3 linked regions of the Alligator mississippiensis genome follow. The main gene of each other region encodes a partner of the protein of the gene in region 2 in a complex. Links are inferred from orthologs where the notes say so. Each region holds a gene or a part of one and is shown on either strand. Other genes may lie near its edges.

Region 1 (7,172 bases), on a different chromosome or scaffold from region 2:
GTGGGCAGGTGCTCGGTAGGTGGCTCCGGGGGGGCTCTGGGACCCCTTCCCGCGGGGGCGGGGCCAGGACATGCTCCCCTCACCCGCTGCCCCCCCCAGGGCCACTCCAGCTTCATCACGCACCTGGACTGGGCGACCGACGGCGGCTGCTTCGTCACCAACTCGGGCGACTACGAGATCCTGTACTGTGAGTGCCGGGCGCGGGGGGATGGGGGGTGGACCCCCGGGCCCGCTCTGAACCCCGCCCCCCTCCCCGCAGGGGACCCCGCGACCTGCCGCCAGATCACGAGTGCCGACGCGGTGCGGAACCGGGACTGGGCCACGGTCACCTGCGTGCTGGGCTTCGGCGTGCTCGGTAAGGGGGCGGGGCCTGGGCCGGGCCGGGGGCGGGGGCGGGGGCGGGGCCGGCCCGCTCTGACCCCCTGCCCGCAGGGATCTGGCCCGAGGGCGCGGACGGCACCGACATCAACGCCGTGAGCCGCTCCCGGGACGGCGCCCTGCTCGCCTCGGCCGACGACTTCGGCACCGTGCGCCTCTTCCGCTATCCCTGCTGCCAGCCCCGGGTGAGCCCCGCCCCCTGCTGCCAGCCCCGCCCCTCGCCCCGCCCCCTGCTGCCAGCCCCGCGTGAGCCCCGCCCCTGTGCCGGGGCGCTCCGCCCACCGCCCCTGTCCCTTTGCGCACCCCCCGCAGAGCACTCCTCCCCCCCACTCCCCCGCCCCGCGCTGACCCCCCAGACCCCCGTGACCCTCGTGTCCCCGCAGGCCTCGAGCCACGCGGCGGAGGGGCACAGCAGCCACGTCACCAACGTTGCCTTCCTGCCCGGGGACCGGGGGCTGCTCTCGGCCGGCGGCTCCGACACCAGCGTCCTGCAGTGGCGCCTCGTCTAGGCGGGGGGGCCCGCGCGGCCCTGCACCGCGGGGCTAGTACAGCTGTATTCAATGCGCTTGAGGTTGCACAGGGGTGCGGGGGGGGCTGCAGCACTTTGTGGGGGGGGGAGACGACCCCAGGCAGGGCCCCCCGCCCACCCCGCAGCCGGGGTGGGCGTGCTTCCCTTGCTTTTTGCAAGTAATGGGGAATGGGGGGGAAACTGAGGCACGGGGGTGCAATCCTGCTGCCCCCCTTGCCTGGGGTGTCCCCAGGGGTGGAGCTGGGGGGGTCCCCTTGATCCCAGTCCCCTGGGGGGTTGCTGGCTCCAGCTGATTGTATTTGCACTGGGGGGGGGCTGTGCGGCGGGATGCGGGCCCTGCCTTTCCAAAGAGGGTGCGGGGTCCCTCCCCACCCAATAAAGCACGTGCGTGAGAGCCGAGGCCTGTGCGTGTGTGTCCGGGCGGGGGGCTGGATCCCCCGGGGAGCGGGGGGAGGACGACAGGGGTGTCACACCACAGCCGCGCAGCGCGTGCCCCCCGGGGACCATTAACCCCCACGGGACCAGGAGGCAGTTGAGGAGTCCGGGCCGCCCCGGCCCCGGCCGGAGCCCCACGCCGGACCTCGGTCGTGGCCGCAGCCCTGGGGCAGGGGATTGGCGGAGCCGCCTGGCGCCCCGGCTGGGATTGGCTGGCGGGGCAGGGGGCGGAGCCGGCGGCGTCCAATCCCGGAGCGGCAGCGCTGCCCAGTGCAGCGCCGAGCACCGCAGCTGCTGGGCCAGGCCGGCGGGGGCCTAACCCGGGAGCCGGGCCGGGGACGTCCTCAGGGCACAGCCCCCGCAGCACAGCGCCGCGCCGCGCCAGCAACGGGGGAGGGTGCCTGGGGGTCTCCCCCTCGCCAGGCTGGGGGGATGCCAGTTCCCGCGGCCACAAGCACGTCCCGTTTAAGCTCTTTTGCATAGCCACGCCCCTTTCCCTGTGGGGCGGGGCCAGGCTGAGTGGAGGGGGGTAGGGGTCCGGGCCCTCCAGCAAGGAGAGGGTTAACTCTGGGGAGTCGCGTGCGGGGCCGGCGCCGCAGGGGTTAACACCCCCCCGGTTAACCCTTCCCGCGCCGACCCATGTCCCCTGGGGGGGGGGCGCTGCCGGGGACCCACTGAGCCCGCCCAGCCCCAGGCTGGGGGGCAATTACCGGGGGGGCTGGGGCGGGAGTGAGGCGGGGTATAACTTCCCCGGGGCAAATGGGGGGGCGAGGCTGGAGAACCCCCGATCTGGGGGGCTGTGGGTGGGGAGTGAGGGGCACCGGCAGGGCTGGGGGGGCAGAAAGGTCGCAGCCCCTCTCACAGGTTCCCACCCCTGCCAGCCACCTGGCATCGCCCAGCCCAGGGGCAGCACCTGGGGGGAGACAGGACCCGGGTAGTGGGGGTGCGGGAGCCCCCCCCCCCCCGGGCTGGAGCCCCTGAAGGTGCGGGGGCTGCTGGGCTCCATCCCTGCCTCGGCCCCTCCCCGCACGCCCGACCCGAGCCAGAGCCCCCAGACGAGCCCAGACGTGGTTATTACCTGCGCCGGGCCAGACGCATCCCAGCGCGCCCGGAGCGGGGCAGGAGCTGCAGGTCGGGAGTGGGGGGCAGCGGCCGCACTGGGGGGCAGGGGGCTGCGGGTCAGGAGTGAGGGGAACCAGTAGGGCTGTGGGGGGCAGGAGTGCGGGTTGGGGGTGAGGGGCACGGGTGGGCAGGGGATCCGGGTCGGGAGTGAGGGGCACTTGGGGGGGGGGGACGGGGGCTGTGGGTCAGGAGTGAGGGGCACTGGTGGGGCTGGGGGAAGGCGGGGTCAGGAGTGAGGGGCACGGGCAGGCCGGGGGGGGCGCAGGGGCTGTGGGTCAGGAGTGGGCACCAGCAGGGCTGGAGGGGCAGGGGCTGTGGGTTGGGAGTGAGGGGCACTGGTCAGGCTGGGGGGCAGGGGCTGTGGGTCAGGAGTGGGGGGCACCAGCAGGGCTGGGGGTGTACAGAGGTGGCAGGTCGGGAGTGAGGGGCCCTGATGCGGGGGAAGGGGGTGGGGGGGTGAGCAGTGTCTCGGCTCCGTCTGCCCTGGCAGCAGGTGGGCAGCGGCACCAGCCTGGGCTAATCTCATTGCAGCTGGATCCCGCCGGATGGACGGAAGGGGGAGCTGCGAAGGAGGGGGCGGGTGGGGGGGTGGCTGGGACTCATCTACCACCTGCTCTGCCCCCCTGGCTGGGGGGGGGCTGCGGGTGAGGAGTGAGGGGCACCAGCCAGGCTCCAGGGCCGGGCACAACCATGCTTGGTTCTCTGCCCCCCACCCGCTGCTGCAGCCCAGACCCCTGGGTCCTCCCCCAGCTCTGGGGACTCCTTGGTTGACCACGTGGCTGGAGCCGGATGCCCAGGTCCCCTCTGCTGGGGGCGGCCATCACCCCCTTCCCCATGGGTGTGTCCATGGGTCCAGCCCCACCCGTAGGGGGCAGGGGCTGGGCAGGCACTGGGACCCCCGGGAGTAACCCCCATCCCGTCCTGGCTCCAGAGCGGGTGGGAGCCCCCACCCGGACGCCTGGGTTCCTCCCTGGCTCCGGCCCGGGGCGATGAATGTCTGGAGCAGCCCGGACGGACGCACGCCAGGGTCCTCGTTCCTGCGCCGTCTCAGAACCGCCGTGAAGTCACGTCCCTTCCGAGCCGGCCTGGCGTGTCCAGCACAGGACATCCGGCTCTGGCCGCTAGGCCTCACGCCCCTCCCAGCTTTGGGGAGAACCCAGGTGTCTGGGCTCCCTGCCCCCCCCAAACCTGCCCCTCGTGGAGTGGTGTCCTGGGGCCCCCACCCACCCCGTTCTCACCTCTGGGCCCCACTCCCCTCCCAGGACCCCCCCTGGCTGGAGCCTGGAGGCGAGAGCAGGGTGGGGGGCCGGGTGCCCAGGCCCCCGGGTTGTCCTCAGCTCCGGGAAGGCAGGCTCAGGGACCCCGGACGCCTGGGTTCCAGGCCAGGCCTGACCCCAGGTCCTGGGGTGACCCCGTCCTCACGGCCGGCTCAGCCTCCCGAGACACCTGGGTCCCCTCCCACCCCGGGGGCCTCCACGTCCCCCCCAGCATGGAATTTTCCATGGGCCGGAAGCTCCAAATGCCACTCTCCCCCCACCCTGTGTGCACACGCATGTGAGCCTGGTGTGCACATGTGAGCCGTGTGCTTGGCTCGTGTCCTTTGGCGCCTGGCAGGGGGTGCCCAGGGATTGGGGCCTGCAAAGGTCACCTCTGCCTCCCCCATGTCGTTATGGCAACCGCCCGCCTGGGTTCCTGCTTGCCCCAGCCTGCCCCGCCCCCCCAGCCTTCAGCCTCCTCCTGCCCCCCCCCTCCCCAAGTGAGAGCCTAGGCATCTGGGATCCCAGACCTGCCCCCCCCACCCCCCCAGTTGTACCCCACGAGACTCCTTCCCCTCCTGGAGCGAGCCTCTAGAGCACCCAGGTCGTGTTGGTACCACGCCCCCCACCCTCACCACTGGGCCCCACTCCCCCCCAAGCCCCCATTGCCTGGAGAGCAGGGATGGCACCCGGTTGCGTGGGTTCTGCCCCCACTGTTAGGGGGGCCTCTTCAGGCAAGGCATTTACCCCCTACAGCGGGGGCCCTGGGGGGCTGCAGGTTGGGAGTGAGGGGCACCAGCGGGGGGAGGGGGGGTGGGGGGCAGCTGGGAGTCCTCAGGGCAGGCGTGGAAGTGCGTGGCGGAGACAGGCTCCAGGAACACACATGTGAGGCGGGGAAGGGAGTGCACACGTGTGCCCAAGGCATGTCCGGATGTGGGGCGCATGGAGGGGCAAGGCGGGAGCACGCATGTGCGTGTGTGTGCGTGTGCTGGGGGGGCTCCACAGGGCTGAGGGGCATGGGCAGCTGTTGGGGCAGGCGTGAGCATTTGCGTGTCGTTGTGGGTATGTGGACGCAGGGGTCTGAGCTGGAGGCACCCCGCCACCCCGGCTCCATGTGTGAGCACACGTGTTAACACGGCCCACATGTGCATGGCGGCTCAGCGCCACCCGGGGTCCGTGTGCTGGTGTGAGCCGCATGGTGGGATCGGTGTGTGCGAGCACAGCAGCTGCGTGTGGCAAGGAGGCCCCGGCTGGGCTACATCCAGCCTGGCATAGCAGGGTGTGCTCACCCACTCCATACCCTCCTGACCCCCTTCCCGTGTCCCCCAGGACCCCGTGCCCCATGGCCGCCCCCCAGCCCACGCTGTGACCCCCAACCCCGCCCGCCAGGATGTGCAACCGCAGCGAGCCGCGCTGCGACGTGGGCTCGCAGCTGGACCAGCTCTTCCCGCCGGCGCTGTACATCGCGGTGCTGGTGCTGGGGCTGCCGGCCAACGGCGCGGCGCTGTGGGCCGCCTGCCGCCAGGTGCGGCAGGGCAACGAGCTGGGCGTCTACCTGCTGAACCTGTCGGTGGCTGACCTGCTGTACGCGGCTGCGCTGCCGCCCTGGGCCGACTACTTCCTGCACCACGACGACTGGAGCCACGGCCCCGGCGCCTGCAAGCTCTTCGGCTTCGTCTTCTACACCAACATCTACGTGAGCGTGGCCTTCCTGTGCTGCGTCTCGCTGGACCGCTACGTGGCCGTGGCTCACCCACTGCGCTTTGCCCGCCTGCGCCGCGTGCGCACAGCCGTGGCCGTCAGTGCCGGCGTCTGGGCCCTGGAGCTGGGCGCCAACTCGGCGCCGCTCTTCCACGACGAGCTCTTCCGCGACCGCCGCAACCGCACCTTCTGCTTCGAGAGCTACCCCATGGAGGCCTGGCTGGCCTGGCTCAACCTGTACCGGTCCGTGCTGGGCTTCCTGGTGCCCTGGGCCGTGATGCTGCTGTGCTACCGCGGCATCCTGCGGGCTGTGGGCGCCAACGTGGCCACGGAGCAGCAGGAGAAGGCCAAGATCCGGCGCCTGGCGCGCAGCCTGGTGCTCATCGCGCTGGTCTGCTTCGCACCCTACCACGCCGCGCTGCTGGGCCGCAGCGCCATGTCCCTGGGCCGGCCCTGCGACTGCGGCTTCGAGGAGCGCGTCTTCGCCGCCTACCACGGCGCCCTGGCTGTCACCAGCCTCAACTGCCTGGCCGACCCCGTGCTCTACTGCCTGGCCCACGAGGGCGCACGGCATGACATGGCCCAGGCCCTGGCCAGCCTCCGCCGCGGCCTGGCTGGTGCCTGGCTCACGCTGGACACGCCGCCAGCGGGCAAGAAGGCCGGCGCCCCCGTGCCAGCCCCCACGCCAGGCGATGACCTGGAGCTCCAGCTGCACATCCTGGTGCCCCCCACCCCTGAGGTGTGAATGGGATGCAGACGAGGTGGGGCTGGGCGAGGGTGCCTGGTTCTGTGGGATGATGGGGGCGGCAGGGGGGGGCAGGCGGATGGACCCAGGGGGCGTGCATGTAAGTGAGCTGTGCAAGTGTCTGTGAGCGTGTGTGTGGGAACGTGTGCACGCAGTACAGTGTTGTGTGTGTACGTGGTAGTGTGTGTGTGCACATGTGCATGTCTCTGAGGTGTGCTCTGGGAGTGTATCCTAGATGCTGGGTAGTGTGTGTGTGCCCAGACACCTGGGTTCAGTGAGGGGGGGCCCAGCTCTCTGCCCTCCCGTGATCCAGCTGCTCCAGTGCAGGGGCAGGGGGTGGCCAGTGCCCTGTTGTGCCCGTGGGTATGTGGGGGGGCTGCCAGGTGCAGGGAACAAAGCTGGAGAACCCCAACACCCCACCATGAATAAAGCAGCTGTGACCCCCCCCAGTCTCAGACTCGTGCTGTGGGTGCCAGGGGTGTGCTGCCAGCACCGCAGGCAGTGGGTGCTGTGCCAGGCCGCTGTGACACCAGCCGGGGCTGGGGGCTGCGTGTCCCCCCCGCCATGGGTGCGGCACGTGGCTCATCCTGTCGTGGCGCCACCCTGGCCACAGCTTTTGGTGCTGGGGGGAGGCAGGACCCGCTGACCACCCTGGTCCAGGGTATGGGGCATGGTCACAGGCTCCTGGGGGGGCTGGTCAAGTCAGGGGTGCCCCTGGGGCAGAGGCAGGTTGGGGTCCAGAGACCTTTGTGCCCCGGGGCCAAAGGGCGCTAGGCTGGCGGAGTCCAGGCAGCCTGGCAGCCCCCTCCTCCTTGCACAAGCCCTGAGGGGCATGGGGCACACGCGCGGGGCACACGCCTGCCCCCGAGGGAAAGGGCAAAGGTCACCCCAGAGTCCAAGCGGGAAGGAGATCGCAGGAGTCAGGGCTCCCGGCGAGTGCTGCTGGGGTCCCGGTTTGTCACCTGCCGCTCAGGGAGTCCGGTTTGGGACAGGACGTGGCACGCTG
Region 2 (7,570 bases):
GGGAGATGGAGCAATGCTGAGCTCTCTTGCTTTCCTTACTGAGCCTGCCTTTCCACCCACCTCTCTTCTCTTTTCCATTTCCTCCCCTGAGCCTCAGCTCAGAGGCAGGTGGAGGACGGCCGTGCGAGAGAGACAAGGCTTGGGAGGGTTTCCCAAATAGGAGCAAGGATGAGAGTTGGGATGGGGGGCGGCCATGGGCTGGGAATGTGGACCGACAGGAGTGACAACTGGGTCAGAGGCTGTGTAGATGGAGCGGCAGTGACAGCTGGCTGGGGAGCGGAGTGGCAGGATGCAATGGGTGCGACAGCAGTTAGGAGTGGGGAAGGAGCAAGGACAGCGGGAGAGTGATGGTTAGAGCTGCTGGGAGGAGTGACAGTTGGGGAGAAAAGACCCCCAAAAGTGGAGTGTGGGCAGGGGAAGCAGTCCCAGGCCTGGCAGAGAGGAAAGGTGCATGGGCGGCAGGATGAGCTGTAGGAGAAAAGCAGGGCAGGATAGGAGCAGGAGGGGACAAAGGGCAAAGAGGAAGGCAAACAATGAAACTGCGAAGCAGGGAAAAGTGCGCAGACAGCAAAACCAAGATCCCGTTGGGCAAGAGCGCCGGCTGCCAGGGTGCTCCTGCCTGACTGAACCGGGCGTGGGGTTGAACAGCCTGTGTTATAATAAAATAGCTATTTCTGTTTCTCCCCTGAATCCATCCTTGTCTGCAGAGAGCAGCTGGCTCTGGTGATGGGAGCGGGAGGATGCTGCTGTGTTACATGGCCGGGAGGCATCACGGGAGCACAGTTATGCCTCCTGCAATGGGGAACTCTGGCTCAGCCATCCTGGTTTTAAATGGTCCCAAGCGCATGTCGGTATGTGGCATGGTGGGTGGTGCAGCCCCCTTCTCTGGCTGGGAGCTTAGTTACCTTCTTCTGCTGGGGTCACAAGGATTTTCTTCACCTGGGTCTGCCCCTTCCTCGTCTCTGCAGCACTTTCTTACCAGCAGGCTCAGGGTACGCACTCATGCAATGGAGGAAGCCAAAATTCAGAGCAGTTTTAGCCTTGACTTGCGTGTTGCTTGCTGCTCCTGTCAGTAAACTGGGGCAGGAACATGTCCTCGCTTTGGCAGAGTGCTGAGATGTACAGATGGAGAAAGAGCCAAAGAGAAAGGGCAAAGGCTCAGAGTCACTGAGCATCCACAACTCCACATGAAACCCCTGGGAGTTGGAAACACCTTGACAGTAATTAAAATCATGCTCTGAGCTGTGTCCAGCCAGAAAAGGAAGTCAGTGCCAGGTCTTGGACCAGAACTCAAGAGCTTCTGACCCCCCATTGCTGCACACAGGCTAGCAGGTGATTATAGGGATTTTATAAAGGTGGGTACTGCTGTCTACCGATAGATGATTTTATAAGCACCATCTAAAATAAATCTAACACGCTGACTGTCACAGAGCCTTGTGGGAGAGAGCACGCTCACCATGCTAGGATAGAAACTTGGTTACTTTTTATTATTGACTTCAGGGGAAGAGTTTTTCCATTCATTAAAGCAGAGTTTCCCAACACTAAGCCAGTGTCATGTTTTCCACAGCCATTTTTCTTCTTCAGCTTTTTAAAACTCTATGATACTATCAAGAGATCAGAAGGCAAAAAAAAAAGTATGCAAAGAGGAAAGTACTGGGTGCCAAAGTTAGGGTTTGGGGGAAGAGAAAGGGAACATTTGATATAATCAGTGGGTGTGTGTACATACATGTGTGTGCATATGTATACACAGATTTTCTGTAGGATGGCTTAAACAGTGCCAGGTTTGAATGATGTGAAGTGCGTATGAGTATTCGCTGCATGTTTTTGAGTCATGTGACCCAAGTACGTGCTTGCTAAAAATGTTTTTCCAACTATTTAAGTTGGTCTAATAAAAGAGATCAGATTCACCCAAAGAACCTTGTCTGCTTGTTTTTAAGAGTCATGAGTGTTTGATGTGGGTTGGTGTTTAAGGAATATCACTGATAATACCCGATTGACTGAGATTGTGTATGTGCGTGAATGCACATGCCTGTGTGCAAGCATGCGAAATACGGCTTTTCTGTATGTGCTTGACCAACGCAACCCATCTCTTTTGAGCCATCAGTGGAATAATACAAAAAAGGAGACAGTTTTTTTGGTCTCTACACTTATAGGCCAGATCTTCAACTAGAGCAAATCTGAATACCTGCACAAACGGAAATGGAGTTGTAGCCACTTATATCATCTCAAGATCTGGCTGCAATTAGCCTAAATTTCCATGGTGATAGGCAGATGATGAGTAAGAATAACCGGGATTAGAGCTGTTTCCAGTCAAACGTGCAATTTCAACCTTGCATGGGTCTAAGCTTTCAGTCTTCAGCGAAGTGTGGTTCTGTACTGTGAGCTAGTAGTGAAATCCTGGAGGTCAGTGCCCATTACCTCCTCTCCCCACCTCTGTTTAACCATCCCAGTGCCTGGAGACCTGAGCACAAGGCAATTCTATAGCCTGGCTGCGTTCATCCCAACAAATCCTGGAAGCGCTTGCTGCTCTTCTTAGGGAAGAGAAGGCTAGAGGCATGTCAGGGCTTTTCTTCTGCTACAACTTGACTGTTGTTTTTTTCCTATTGTGCTTGGACACGCAAAGAAGCTGATGGGGAAGTTCAATTTTTGTTTCCTTGTAAGAAAACCTCTAATAGCTTTGTCCTCACAATATAGTTTTCCCATGTATCCCATTGTAAGTCTAGTACTCCCAGTATTACACATAGACACACATGCGGAAACTAATTTTGCACTAAGCTCAGGCCATTTTTAGAGCATTTCTCCCAGCTGGGATGAAGGGGCAGCGTGTTTTGCCAGCCAGATCTCCAGTGCAGTCCTAGCTAGGCCGGCGCGGTTCTCCAGAAAGCCTCCTGGAGCTAGGACGGCAACAAGACCACGCGGGGTCCAGTGCATTTGCAAATCCACCTCCTTCAAGCTGCGGCCGAGGAACTGGGCAGGAAGAGGTTTGCTTTCACCGACGTGCTGCTGCTGTGCCGTCCCTCATGGGACCCAATGCGCCTGGTTTGCAGCCCCGGCAGCACCGCCAGCCTTGCAGAAACCTCTGGCACCTTGCAGCAATGGCTCCTTCACCCCCTTCCCCCATCCACAGCTGATGGGCACCTGGGAGGGCTGGAGCAGGGGGCTGCAGACTGTGCTTTACCCCCGCTGGGGTATCGGTTGCAGCCATGGTGGTCACAGCACATAGACAGGCAAGGTTCTTGGGGTAAATCTGGTATTAAAGTTGGTCTAATAAAAGATATCAAATTCACCCAAAGAACCTCATTTACCCCAGTCGCGGCTTTCACCCATCTGGACCCTGCTGCTTTGCAGCACTTTCTCCCCACGGGCTGGATGGACCTGGGTTCAATCCCCAGCCCTGTGTAAACACCTCATCCCTCCTGCTTGCAGTGGGACGTCGCGGTGCCAGGGTAGGACCAGCGCTGCCAGGTCTTAAATATGAAAAAAATGTAATATTGGATGGTTGAAAGGATTGTATCTGCTGCAAAAAGATGCCAATAAGTGATTTATTTGATATTGCTCACTGTAGGCGTGCAGGGGGTGAGACCTGGGTCATCCGGGTGGAAGCACGGTTTTTATTTCAGCCATCGGGAAGTGCCGACGGTCGACCCCAGCCTTGGTCCAGATGCTCGGAGCGCCATTTGTTTTGCACGGGCTGCCGCGAAAGCCAGGACACGTTTTGCAGGGGCGCACGTTACACAGAACAATGTTTTCCAGGTTTGATCAAAGATCCGCCGAGGACCCATGGGGGGGATGGGGCCAAAAAAGGATGCCCAACTCTAGAACTGAGCAATCACTTTTATCTAGACCATTATATTTATATAATATTTATATTTATATTAATATATTTATATAAAGATATAACATATTTAAATATATAATATGTATACTTTTTATATTAATATACAATATTATTTAATATTACTTTATTTATATTAATACATTTATATAAACATATATTTATATTATACAAATATATTTATATAATATAATATATAAATATATAATCTATATTTATATTATACAAATATATTTATATAATATGATATATAAATATATAATATATATTTATATTATACAAATATATTTATATAATATGATATATATAAATATATAATCTATTTATATTAATAAATTTAATATTTATTATTACGAGATCCACTTAAGAAGGGATCCTGTCTGCAGCAAGAGCACTGCGCTTTGGAGCGCGTGGTACTACGGTACATGGCACTAGGGTGCGGCTACTCGGAGCAATGCGGTAAAGAGCCGCCTTTCCCTAACGATGCGGCGCCCGTTTGCCCCGCGCGGCGTCACGTGGTGCGGAAGGAGCCAGGATGCTGTCACGTGACGGGTGCCGGGGCGCGGCAGGGAGGGCGGTCAGGTGCTGGCGCGGCTCACGTGACGCGGGGGCGGCGCGGTCACGTGGTCCAGCCGGTCGCGCGGCGCATGCGCAGGTGGCGGGCGGCGGCGGCCGCTCCCTCCCTCGCTGGCAGTGCTGGCCAAGATGGCGGACTTCCTGCCGACGCGCTCCGCGCTGTCGGGCTGCTTCCCCGGCTGCCTGCTGAGCAGCGGCGAGGCCGAGCAGCAGCGCAAGTCCAAGGAGATCGACAAGTGCCTCAGCAAGGAGAAGACGTACGTGAAGCGTCTCGTCAAGATCCTGCTGCTGGGCGCCGGCGAGAGCGGCAAATCCACCTTCCTCAAGCAGATGCGCATCATCCACGGGCAGGACTGGGACCGCGCCGCCCGCGAGGAGTTCCGCGCCACCATCTACAGCAACGTCATCAAAGGTGCGGACCGGCCCCCCCCCCTCCACCCCGCGCGCGCGTGTGTGTGTATTTGCACACGCACACCTACCATAGCCCCTCTCAGAGCCTGTACCTATACAGCAGGAGGCGTGTGGGGAGCCCCACACGTATATGTACACGCGTGCCCCTTTTTACCTGAATCTGGGAGGTGAGGGTGTAAGGCAGGCGTGCGTGTGTGCGTCCGTGTAGACGTACGCCCTCCCCGCACGCCTCCCTGAGCAACCAGGGCAGGGGTGTGCACTCCTGCCTTACACCCGCGCCTCCTCGAGTAAGGTGTGCGTAGCCTTCGTTGTGGAGGTGCGGGAGGGTCTTCCTGCCTGCCTCCTGCTCGGCCCCACACCCTCGTGGCCGGCCGTCAATTGCTGATTTGGAAATCCCCGAGGCACCTGAGATGGGCGGTGTCCGTCCATCCATCCATCCATCCATCCATCCAGCAGTGCCCTGTGGGGGGGGACATCTCGCTGGGGTCGAGTCACGGAGGAGTGGGAGTGGGACTCGGGCTCCTAAATCACTCCTAAATGGCCCTTGGGAGCGCTCATGTGGGCTGCCTCCCGAGGAGGGTTAGGGCTGTCTGCCCGCCTCTCTGTGGGGGAGGCGGCCGGGAAGAGTTCGGCTATGAGGTAGTTAATGAAACGATGAGATATTTAGACATCACCATCAAATTTTGCCTTGCCATTTGACAGGCAGAAAAGTTTTACCCCAGGGCTGACGACCGGTTTCCGAAAACCAAAGTGCGTCGTACGCTCTTTGATACCGAAAGTAGCACGTGTGTTAGGGGTGCAGGTTGCAGCCGTGTAGGGTGTAGCCATGTGTGTTGAACGCTTCTTTGATGAAGAGACTTTGTTCCCATATACCTAGCCCCGGCCTTGATTCTTCATGCTGGTTTTCCTCCCCCTATTTGGGCTTTAAGAGACTGTAATGGTAGTATTAGCTCACCGTTCTCAGGTAGGCAGTACAGGTACAGGGGGGGAAAAAAAGCACAGATTTTCTCTTAAAGCCCAAGGTTGAGCGTTAAAGAGGTGTTGCTTTTTTCTTGGTATTTGGAGGAAAGACTTAGGAAGTTCTGTGCTTGTAGCAGAACTCTTTCCACAAGTAACTGTTGTGTGGATTTCGGCAAATTGAGGTACCTTTTAGAAAGCATTTAACACCTTATGAGTTGTATGCGATACAGTTTACCTTTGTTTCTGAAAACGAACATTGCCGTTGTCTTTTGGCAAAACTACCAAGTTTATTACAATGGGTGAAGAGAAGGAAATGCCTTTAAGTAAGGTGGTAAACAGTTCACTGGATTCCTAAATAGTGCTTAGCATAGTTAATTTATATGCTTGAAATCTTGTATTCTTGCTAGGTGAACTAAACTGCCATAAACTCGTTCTTGAGTTCAAACAAAAGCATAGACTATTTGCTAGTATCGATTGTTTATTCTGTAGATGAGTTTCGTTTACTAACTTCAGTATACATCGTTAAAGGTAAACGGATAACGCTTGTGAAGTGCACTTCACAAAACCACTGTTTTAATTCTCGATGAGGACATTATTTTTCTTCTTTTCTTGCCCTTGTCACAAACTAGATGTTTTTCCAGAAACTGGCATTAACAATCTCAGAAGTATATAACTAATTTTCTCACTACAAATAACTGTAATTTCCATGTTACCTTGAAACGGAGCTCTAAAGCTAGAATTTCAGCTCTGTGAAGGCATCATATATGCTAACTTCCTGTTGTGCAAGTAGTCCCATTAGCTTTACTGGGACTACACAATAAGTCAAAAGTACATGTGTGTTTAAGTCTGTCTAAGGTCTAGTGTGATAAGTAGACATGGCAGATTTGGGAGAACACTAATTATGGCTCTTCCTTTTTATTAAAGGTGTGAGAGTCCTGGTAGATGCCAGAGAGAAACTTCACATTCCCTGGGGAGTTCCTGCCAACCAGAGTAATGGGGATATGATGATGGCTTTTGATACTCGGTCAGCCATGGTGGCACAAGGGATGGTGGAGACTCGGGTTTTTTTACAGTACCTTCCAGCAATACGAGCACTGTGGGCAGACAGTGGTATCCAGAACGCCTATGACAGACGCAGAGAATTCCAGCTGGTAAGACAGTTTTCTCAGTATTGTTGTTCAAGATTGTAAAACAGTGTTTCATTTTCCAGTGAAATAGACTCTGTCTCTTTCTGAGGACACTTAGACATATCTTAACGTTTTTAGCTCGTGGAATTGCAGCCTGACGTAAGTTTTCATTTTAATGCTGTTAACAAGAAGAGTAAATCAAAATTAGCTCACCCATAAAGGAAATATTATTTCTGTTTTACCAGCAAGGGCACTGAGGTGCAGACAGGTTGTATGCCCATTTTAATGAGTTTTCTGTAGCAGACCTGTGATTTGATTCTAGATGGCTCTTTCTAGTGTATTAACTAGAAATGTGATCTCATTCTTTGCTGCTGGTTCACTGAAACTTATAAAAATACTTTTGTCATTTTGCAGAAGAGAAAAGGAGGAATGCATACTAATTGGGTTTTTTTTTTCCTCTGAGACAGTTTTCTTTAGTTTACCAGGTCTTAAAACCATTCTTTTCTATTCCCATTTGTGCAGTCTTGTAGTCATTCCCTGCATATACTTCCTGTTTCAATTTCATGCGAGTGCATTCATTTTCATGCAAGCAGGTATCTTTTTCTGGTGAAGCTTTCAGTGGTAGATGTGAACTGTGGTTCAGTAGTTTGATTCTAGTGGG
Region 3 (7,236 bases), on a different chromosome or scaffold from region 2:
GTCTGCCTACCGGGGCAAGAATAATTCATTCACAAAGGCTTTAGCTTTCCTTTTGGAAGTGACCACAGCAAAATATCCTACTGATATCAAGAAGGTGGCATGCTGCTGTCAGTGAGTGGACCCAGTCATAGGCCAGGGCATATTCAATTCACGATTCTACGGATTTTGTGGAAACTGAAAGCCAGCATTGTCCGTGAAATCAACTTAAAAAAAAAACTTAATAAAAATAAAATGTTGGCTCCCCAGTGGGGGCCAGCAGTCCTTGCTGCTGTTGCAGCGCAGCCTCACAGCCTGCCCAGGGCAGGGGAGACGGCGCTGGCTGGCAGAGCAGCATGAAGAGCAGCAGACAAGGTGGCAGCTGCCAAGGCCTCTCTGCCAACCAGTGCCGAGGGGCAGGGGTGCTGGAGAACATCCAGGGAATATCCGCAGAATTTGAAAAAATTGTTTAGTTTCTCTGTGATTTAAGTAGACCCCTTAGCTATAGGTATAAAGGTGTTCTATATTTCTATATGAGAAGAAAAATAAGCTGTGCCAATATATTTTGTGTCAGTAAAGCTTCATGCACTTTTGGGGTTGTACCAAGGAAAAATCTTGCTCCTAACCAAATAGTTTTACTAGAGAAAATGCTGTGCATCGTGAAGGCCTTAAACGATGTGCGAGTCTTGTACTGACTGTATAGGAGTCAATTTAATCTAGTTACACCAGTGTAAATCCCCAGTATTTCCAGTGATCTAAAAAAAATTACTTTGGACTGAGAGTTGTACAAATGAAAGCTGCATTTGCCCCACGTGTTTGTTTTCTGTTCTGTTGCATAACTGAAATTAAAACACTCCGTGTTACTTCTAAGCTTCTAGGAAAAGTCAGAAGATATTACATTAAAAAGCTACAAGTTGCTGGCTGTGGTGGTGATACTATTTTCTAAGCCCTTTTCCTTTGGTTTCAGCTGTAACTAAGCAGTTAATAGAATCCATGATTTGCTCAGAAATCGTTTTGCTAGACCACAGGGACTCCATTCAAATATTAGAAAGCCACTTGATAGGTATACTTTCCAGTGGAGGCTGCCACTAAAGGGACCCACTCTGGATATAAGCCCTCAGCCCATTTGGCAAGTAGTTCACTGGACTATATGTACAGGTGCATGCACAGATTAATGAAACACCATACAGGGAGGACACAGAACTCACTGTTTTTGCATTTTCAAATCCTTTTTCATTTAAGAAAGTGATTTTAAAAAGCCAATATTCTGGCTCAATGCTCTAGCTCAGGCACAAAATCTACTCAGCAGCTTTATGTCAGGAGAACTGATTGTAATGAAAAAAGAGCGATCTTTTGCTTGAACATTTAAAAAAAGTCTCTATCCAGGGCAAGTAAAATTTTGCAGCACAGGGTAAAACTCTCTGATCTCTGATATAGTCGGAGTAATCAGACTTTATGCTCTGCATGGGGAATTGAAATTAGCCCACTCTGAATATACTAGTAAGCAAGAGGAATACAGGGAAGAGCAGTGGACGGCCTCTGGATCTGAACCAAGGTGCCTAGTGGCAGGGGCAGATACTGCTACTTGATAAGAGTAGTAGGCAAGGAGGATTATGAAGGAGCTGTACTGTGGGCTTGAAATGATCAGAGTCAGTATGGCATACATTGGCTAATGGGTGTGCTGCTTCGACCACCTTCTTTCTCACAAAGAGGAGTTAGAAAGTACGCCTGGACTTCCACCACTAGGTGAATTTCATGCATTATTCTCAATTAACCTAACAGAGTGAATAACCAATTCAATTAATTTTGCCTTTTCTACTAAAATAATTTCCACAAACTGTTTAAAAATCTAGCTGTTGCTCAAAATCACTATCCAAGTATTTTCTGTGAATTGTGCTTTGTCTGTAGGTTGTTCATTCTGATTAACTGCCTTTTGCAATTCAGGTGGGATTGGTTAGCTTAGATTGGACACAGGGAACCTGGCATTGCTTCTGTTCTCTGGTTGGATTAGTAAACACTTCAAATCAGGTTTCCTGAAGTATCACATGAATAAGTTCAAAACTTACTTTCTGCAAATAATCTTCAATATCTGCTTATAATTTGCTGTTTCCACAAAAATTCCTGGCAGTGAACATGGTGCTTGGATTCTACCATTTTTTTTTTACAAGCATCTACTTTCCTTTAACAGGCCCCACTTGGCAAATATTTCAAATTCCTTTCTTCCTCTTTTGACAATTTAGCTTTACTCATTATTTTTAGCTGAAGCTATTGTTTCTACCCATGGCAATACTGATCATTCAATGGCACGGGAGATCTGGGGCATACACAAAGTTCTTCATTTTCCTCCTAGGCATAGAGGCCAATTGTAATGGATGAGAAACAGGTCTGGAAAGAGTACGGCAAAAATCAGAAGAGGAGAAAGCAAGCCTATGTCTATGGAAGAGCTGGCTAGGGAATTAATTTTGTGAAAAACATCAGGTTCCCAGAATGTTTTCCCTCAACACTTGAGATGAAGAGCCAGACACCCATTTTTTCCCCCAAGGGACTGAAGTTAAATGATATTTAATTTTAGAAACACGAATACGATGCTTCAGCAAGTGTTTTTAATGAAATGTGCTCGCTGAAGTCCTAGAAAACCTGAGACCCACAGCAGGTTGCAAGTTTACATGCTCAGGTCTACTTTGGGAGGTTAGTGGTTGGGTTAGGAGAAAGCAAGGCAGGCTAGCCAAGTAGCTGGACAGTCAACTTAGAGGCCATTGAAAGTTTTAATAGAATTGACATATTCCCATGCACTGTTTGTTATTAAATCAGTATTTTCTGATGTGGAAAACCCCCCCAAAAAACATTTCACTGTGACCAGTTCTAGCCTAGGGCTTAGAAGAGAAAAGAGCAGGGGTGAAGGCACACACCAGTCAGGCGTAGATCGGGCTCTGGAGGGCGTGTGGGTCAGGGAAGTTATCAAATATTAGCACTATCTGGGGCTTGGACCGAGAAGGCACAGCTCGAGTATCCAAGGGACAAAAGTGGTGAAGCATAGGGGGCCAGTAACATGCCTAGAAACATCATCACTCAAAGGCCTGTCATTGTTTAATCTATCAATAGATATCAATTTGAGAGCTGGTTTAGAGCAGTGGGGGGCAACCTTTTTGATAGGCATGCCACAAATTAGCCCTGAACTCTCCCTGCGTGCCACTGACTTCCTTCCCTTGCCTGCTCTGTTTTCTGCTCCCTGCCCTCTCTGCCAGGGTGTAGCCCGTCTCCTCCTCAGCCAGCTGCTTGCCACACACACAGAAACTGCCCATGCCATGTATGGCACCTATGCTGCGGGGTGGCTACCTCTGGTTTAAAGTACTTTACTATTTGGGAGAGTTTCTGAGGCTGAGGGAGGAAAGGGGGGGAGGGGAAGATGGCAGAAAAAAAAGTTTGGATTTTTTTTTTTTGGTTTTTAATTGAACAAAATCACAAAAATTAAAAAAAACCCCCGATGAATCTGAAATAAAAGTATTTTTTTATCTAAAAAGAAAAGAAAAGAGTGAATGAAAATTGGTGCTCAGTTCTAATCTTTATATATATAATCTCAGTTCTAATCATCTTTATATTAAATAAATAATTGCTATGAATGCAGTACAGTTCAGGGTACAATTGTAAAGTGGCCCTGATAAAAGATTACTCAAGAATCGAGCAGTACAGTCTAATTTATTCTATCTAAACGTAAGACAGGCTGAAGGTCTAGTGGCTAATATTTGTGATTCGAGGTTAGAAGATCCCAGTTTTGTTTGTGGCTTTTCTATTGCTTTTTGTTTGATCTTGAACAAGCCAAATGATTGATGCCTCAGTTTCCCCTTCTATGCATAGGCATAGTAAATATCCTCTATTGCACCAGAGTGTTATGAGGCTTAATTAATGTTTCGAAAGGGTTTAAGATGTATGGAGAGAAAGCTCTGAAGAAATACAAAGTATTATTTTAATAAATGGCTCTTGATTCTTTCATAAAACTTCTGCTTTAAATGTATTTTATGTTTTTTTAGGCATTGGAGATACGAGTATTTGTACTGGCTTCATTCCTTCTCTGAATGTGCAAACTTGCAATAAATAATTTTTATTGTGGTCTCTTTAATCTGCTTTCTGAACCGCATTAACTTGTTTCCGCTTGTTCCTAGCAGGCTGGTGTTAGGACCCAGAAAAGAGACAGCAGCAACACGATATAAATAGAGTACCAGAATGGGACAAAGTTTGAGAAGAAAGCATGACATCACTCAGACTTACTCTCCACCCAAAAAGATCTGGGATGGAGGTACAAACGTGAGCCAGACAAGCGAGGAGCTAGCAACACAGTTCAATCCAATTCCTAAGGACACAGTGAGAGTCAGATGTCCAGTGGAGCAGAAGGGGCTACTTTTTTATGATGAGAACCAAAACTGGCTTCAGATCTCTGACAAAGTAAAAATAATTGGATAAAAGAAAAAAAAAAGAAAAAGAAAACCACAGACAGCAAACATTGTAAAATAAGATCTCTTCTTTTGGCACAAATAACAGCAGAACTACTTGCATTCTTTCTGTGCAATTGCACAATTTTTGGATCTTATTATTTTTATCTTATGATTTTGCTCCAGTCATGGTTATGTGTTTTTTGGTAATTCAAGTGATCCACATTTAAAGCAAGCAAATATTCATGAAGGCTCTGGAAGAATATATTGCTTTCTCACTGGAAGAATGGAGTTTCTGAACCTGTGTGGAAAATGCAGATTTTAAAAGAAAAAAAAGTAGCAAAGGAGAACTTGTGTTCATGATTGAAATCTCCCAGGAATTAGATCTCAATTGCACTTGAAAACGCAAAAGGACCATGAAGAATTTGTTGTCTCTGCTCTGTTATTATTTGCTGCAGATTTTATTTCAGTCTAAATATCAGGTAATATTCAGAACTTGGGTAACAGTGAGATTTTTCCTGTTTATTCTTAAAAACTTTTGCTTCACATTGTCTTATTCTGTCATATTTTATGTACAGGTGTATGGAAACTATTCCAGGCTACCTAAACACCCAGGTAAGGACATTGTTATTTATCATTGATACTACCACGTGCTTAATTGTTACAGTATATTTATTTAGCAAACCTTTTGTTTTCTGGTTTATATTTCATTTTTTTAGTTGTTACAAGGGATCATACAAGACCATACTAAAAATCTAGTGCCGGACAATTGCAGTTACTTAAAAGTTCAGGTCTCCCTATAGTGACATCTTGTATTAAAAGAAATACAAAAATAAATTCTGTGCACATTTCACAGAATAGGCTACCACCTTTGTGCATGAGAATTTTTTTACGGTTTTTTTCACTTGAGTTGGTCTTTGAATTGTATTTACACAGAGATTACTTTCTCTTTCACCACAACGTGCTAGTGTTCAGCACTTCAAATTCATTGACTTGCGGCTAGAAGTGCCAGTTCACATATGTTACATTGCATTTGTGTGGCTCCAGTCATTTAAAAGCCTTTGATGATTAAATGTAGATTGCTCGGGACGGAACCGCAGCATGTTTTTCTTCTGAGCTCTTGTCATCTGTTTTCAATGCGAAAATCACTCAAACTTATTTGCTGTGTGTGTAACTGGAAAGATCTTCTGTTTGCACAAATAGTTTAGCCTCAAGCCTCATGGTGGTGTACAAGTACAATTTTACAGTTTAAGCAATCCACAGAATGCCCTGTGCTTTTAATTTCTGCCCAGAAGTACTAGCTTTCAAAGAAAACTGCTGCATGCTGCAGGAGAAGCCCTGTTCCGTCCTGTTGCAATACATGAATCCCCACCCTGTTATCTGAGTCCTAATTAACAGCGTATGTGAGTAAGCTAGTGCCCTTGCTCATATCAGTTTCTTCTGTTTCCCCTTCATCTGGTAAACATTAACATATTGTGTCAATTCCTATAGAAAAGGATGAATGACCTGTTGCTTAAGAAGCAATAGAAGAAACATAGGCTGTATATAAATATTATGTATTGCAGGGGGAGGAGAGTTATAAAAGAGTCCCCAGTTTGGATGGGGACCTAGAAATATTAAGCTCTAAATCAGTGGTCCCCAACATTTTAAGAGTCAAAGCACCGCTTGATAGATTTGAGGCACCCCTCAATATAATGAAGGTACCCCTTGAAAAAATGCCAGCTCTTAGTTTTCGTTGCTTTTTGACTACAAAAAAAGAATAGAACAATTCTTCTGTTGCAAAGAACTCAGAAAGACCACAGCAAGTCGGGATGTTGTTAACACTGTGGGTAAAAAACACTATTTGAAAACTCTGAATTTATCTTGTGAATCATGTTTGCACAACTAACAGTACTAATATTGTGCAGCACCCCGTGCAACACCCCTTGAAAGGATCTCAAGGCACCCTGGCTGAGAATCACTGCTCTAAATGATTCTATCTTGATTTGCACTATGATGTAATCTTCCCATCATACATGGTCCAGCATGTACAGCAAACAGATTCATAGTAATTTTGTACTTATAAATTGAAAGGAAAGTTAAGTGAACAGAAATGAAAGGAAATCCAAGTGAACAGGCATACCAGTGGTTTTCAACCTGCTGGCATTTTTTGGAGGCTCCTTCAGGCTGGATTGGCTCTGAGCATGGTTTAGAGAAGGAGTGTTAAAGTTGTCCTGGGCTGGATCCAAAATGCAGGGCTCCTTGCAGGTTAGATCTAGACGTACTGGTGGGGTGAGCACATCAGGGATCCCTGGGGGTTTATGTAGCTATTACCCGCCAACTCCCTCATCTGCCTGCCCCTTTGCCCCCTGCTCCTGACACACATCCCCAAAAGAGCCTTGTATCTCAGATTCTGGTGGTGGGCCACGCTCCTGCTCTCATCCCTCAATTTCTGGCCCTTCCAGGGGCCCTGTGGCCCAGACAATATGACTCTGTGGGCTGGATCTGCCCCATGGGCTGTATTTTTGACACCCCTGGTTTAGAAAATAAAGTACTGGACGGAAATCCAAGGAACCTGTGTCCTAGTCCTCACTTTGTCGCTGTCCTGCTCTGTGCGACACTGGGGAAGTCACTTCTCTGTGTTGCTGTTTGCTTTCCCACTTTTTGTCTATCTTTTCTGTTAATTGTAGGCCGTTTAGGGTAGAGATTCTCCCTATATGTTGGGATGATGCCAAGCACAATGGGGCCCTGATCTCAATTAGGCCTTCTGGATGCTAGTGTAATACAACTATAACAATCAAGTGTCTCATTATGTCCTGGCACAGCTGTTGGCATCTATTCATATTCTCTCTGC

Evidence for each region.
Region 1: the proteins of GNA13 (region 2) and GPR4 are in contact, whole or in part, in a cryo-EM structure (PDB 9JHP), measured with the Homo sapiens proteins. The link is inferred for Alligator mississippiensis from reciprocal best matches to the Homo sapiens genes GNA13 and GPR4. Residues at the interface, in NP_006563.2 of Homo sapiens: Arg47, Pro341, Tyr343, Phe359, Lys363, Asp364, Ile366, Leu367, His368, Asn370, Leu371, Lys372, Gln373, Leu374, Met375, Leu376, Gln377; in NP_005273.1 of Homo sapiens: Gln45, Asn50, Arg115, Ala118, Val119, Ala120, Pro122, Leu123, Ala126, Ile204, Val208, Ser211, Val212, Ser213, Thr214, Glu218, Lys221, Ile222, Leu225, Asn290, Glu291, Gly292, Ala293.
Region 3: the proteins of GNA13 (region 2) and ADGRD1 are in contact, whole or in part, in a cryo-EM structure (PDB 9V0U), measured with the Homo sapiens proteins. The link is inferred for Alligator mississippiensis from reciprocal best matches to the Homo sapiens genes GNA13 and ADGRD1. Residues at the interface, in NP_006563.2 of Homo sapiens: Val49, Val216, Phe218, Phe359, Val362, Lys363, Asp364, Ile366, Leu367, His368, Asn370, Leu371, Gln373, Leu374, Met375; in NP_942122.2 of Homo sapiens: Asn599, Arg601, Leu657, Met660, Val661, Ile662, Val664, Phe665, Ser667, Val737, Ile738, Ile741, Ala761, Val764, Asn810.

The regions. Positions count from the first base shown.
Region 1 is NC_081838.1:377,133-384,304, reverse strand, and holds GPR4 (G-protein coupled receptor 4), read left to right. Parts: upstream 1-4,283; 5' UTR 4,284-5,110; coding exon 5,111-6,166; 3' UTR 6,167-6,610; downstream 6,611-7,172. Other genes in the region: EML2 (echinoderm microtubule-associated protein-like 2), read left to right, coding at 1-15, 100-187, 260-355, 433-563, 762-887. UniProt on the Homo sapiens protein: Proton-sensing G-protein coupled receptor activated by extracellular pH, which is required to monitor pH changes and generate adaptive reactions. Activated by an optimal pH of 6.8-7.2.
Region 2 is NC_081831.1:4,634,331-4,641,900, reverse strand, and holds the start of GNA13 (guanine nucleotide-binding protein subunit alpha-13), read left to right. Parts: upstream 1-4,510; 5' UTR 4,511-4,540; coding exon 4,541-4,823; intron 4,824-6,706; coding exon 6,707-6,933; intron 6,934-7,570. UniProt on the Homo sapiens protein: Guanine nucleotide-binding proteins (G proteins) are involved as modulators or transducers in various transmembrane signaling systems.
Region 3 is NC_081833.1:9,606,082-9,613,317, forward strand, and holds the start of ADGRD1 (adhesion G-protein coupled receptor D1), read left to right. Parts: upstream 1-4,210; 5' UTR 4,211-4,819; coding exon 4,820-4,885; intron 4,886-4,981; coding exon 4,982-5,018; intron 5,019-7,236. UniProt on the Homo sapiens protein: Adhesion G-protein coupled receptor (aGPCR) for androgen hormone 5alpha-dihydrotestosterone (5alpha-DHT), also named 17beta-hydroxy-5alpha-androstan-3-one, the most potent hormone among androgens. Also activated by methenolone drug.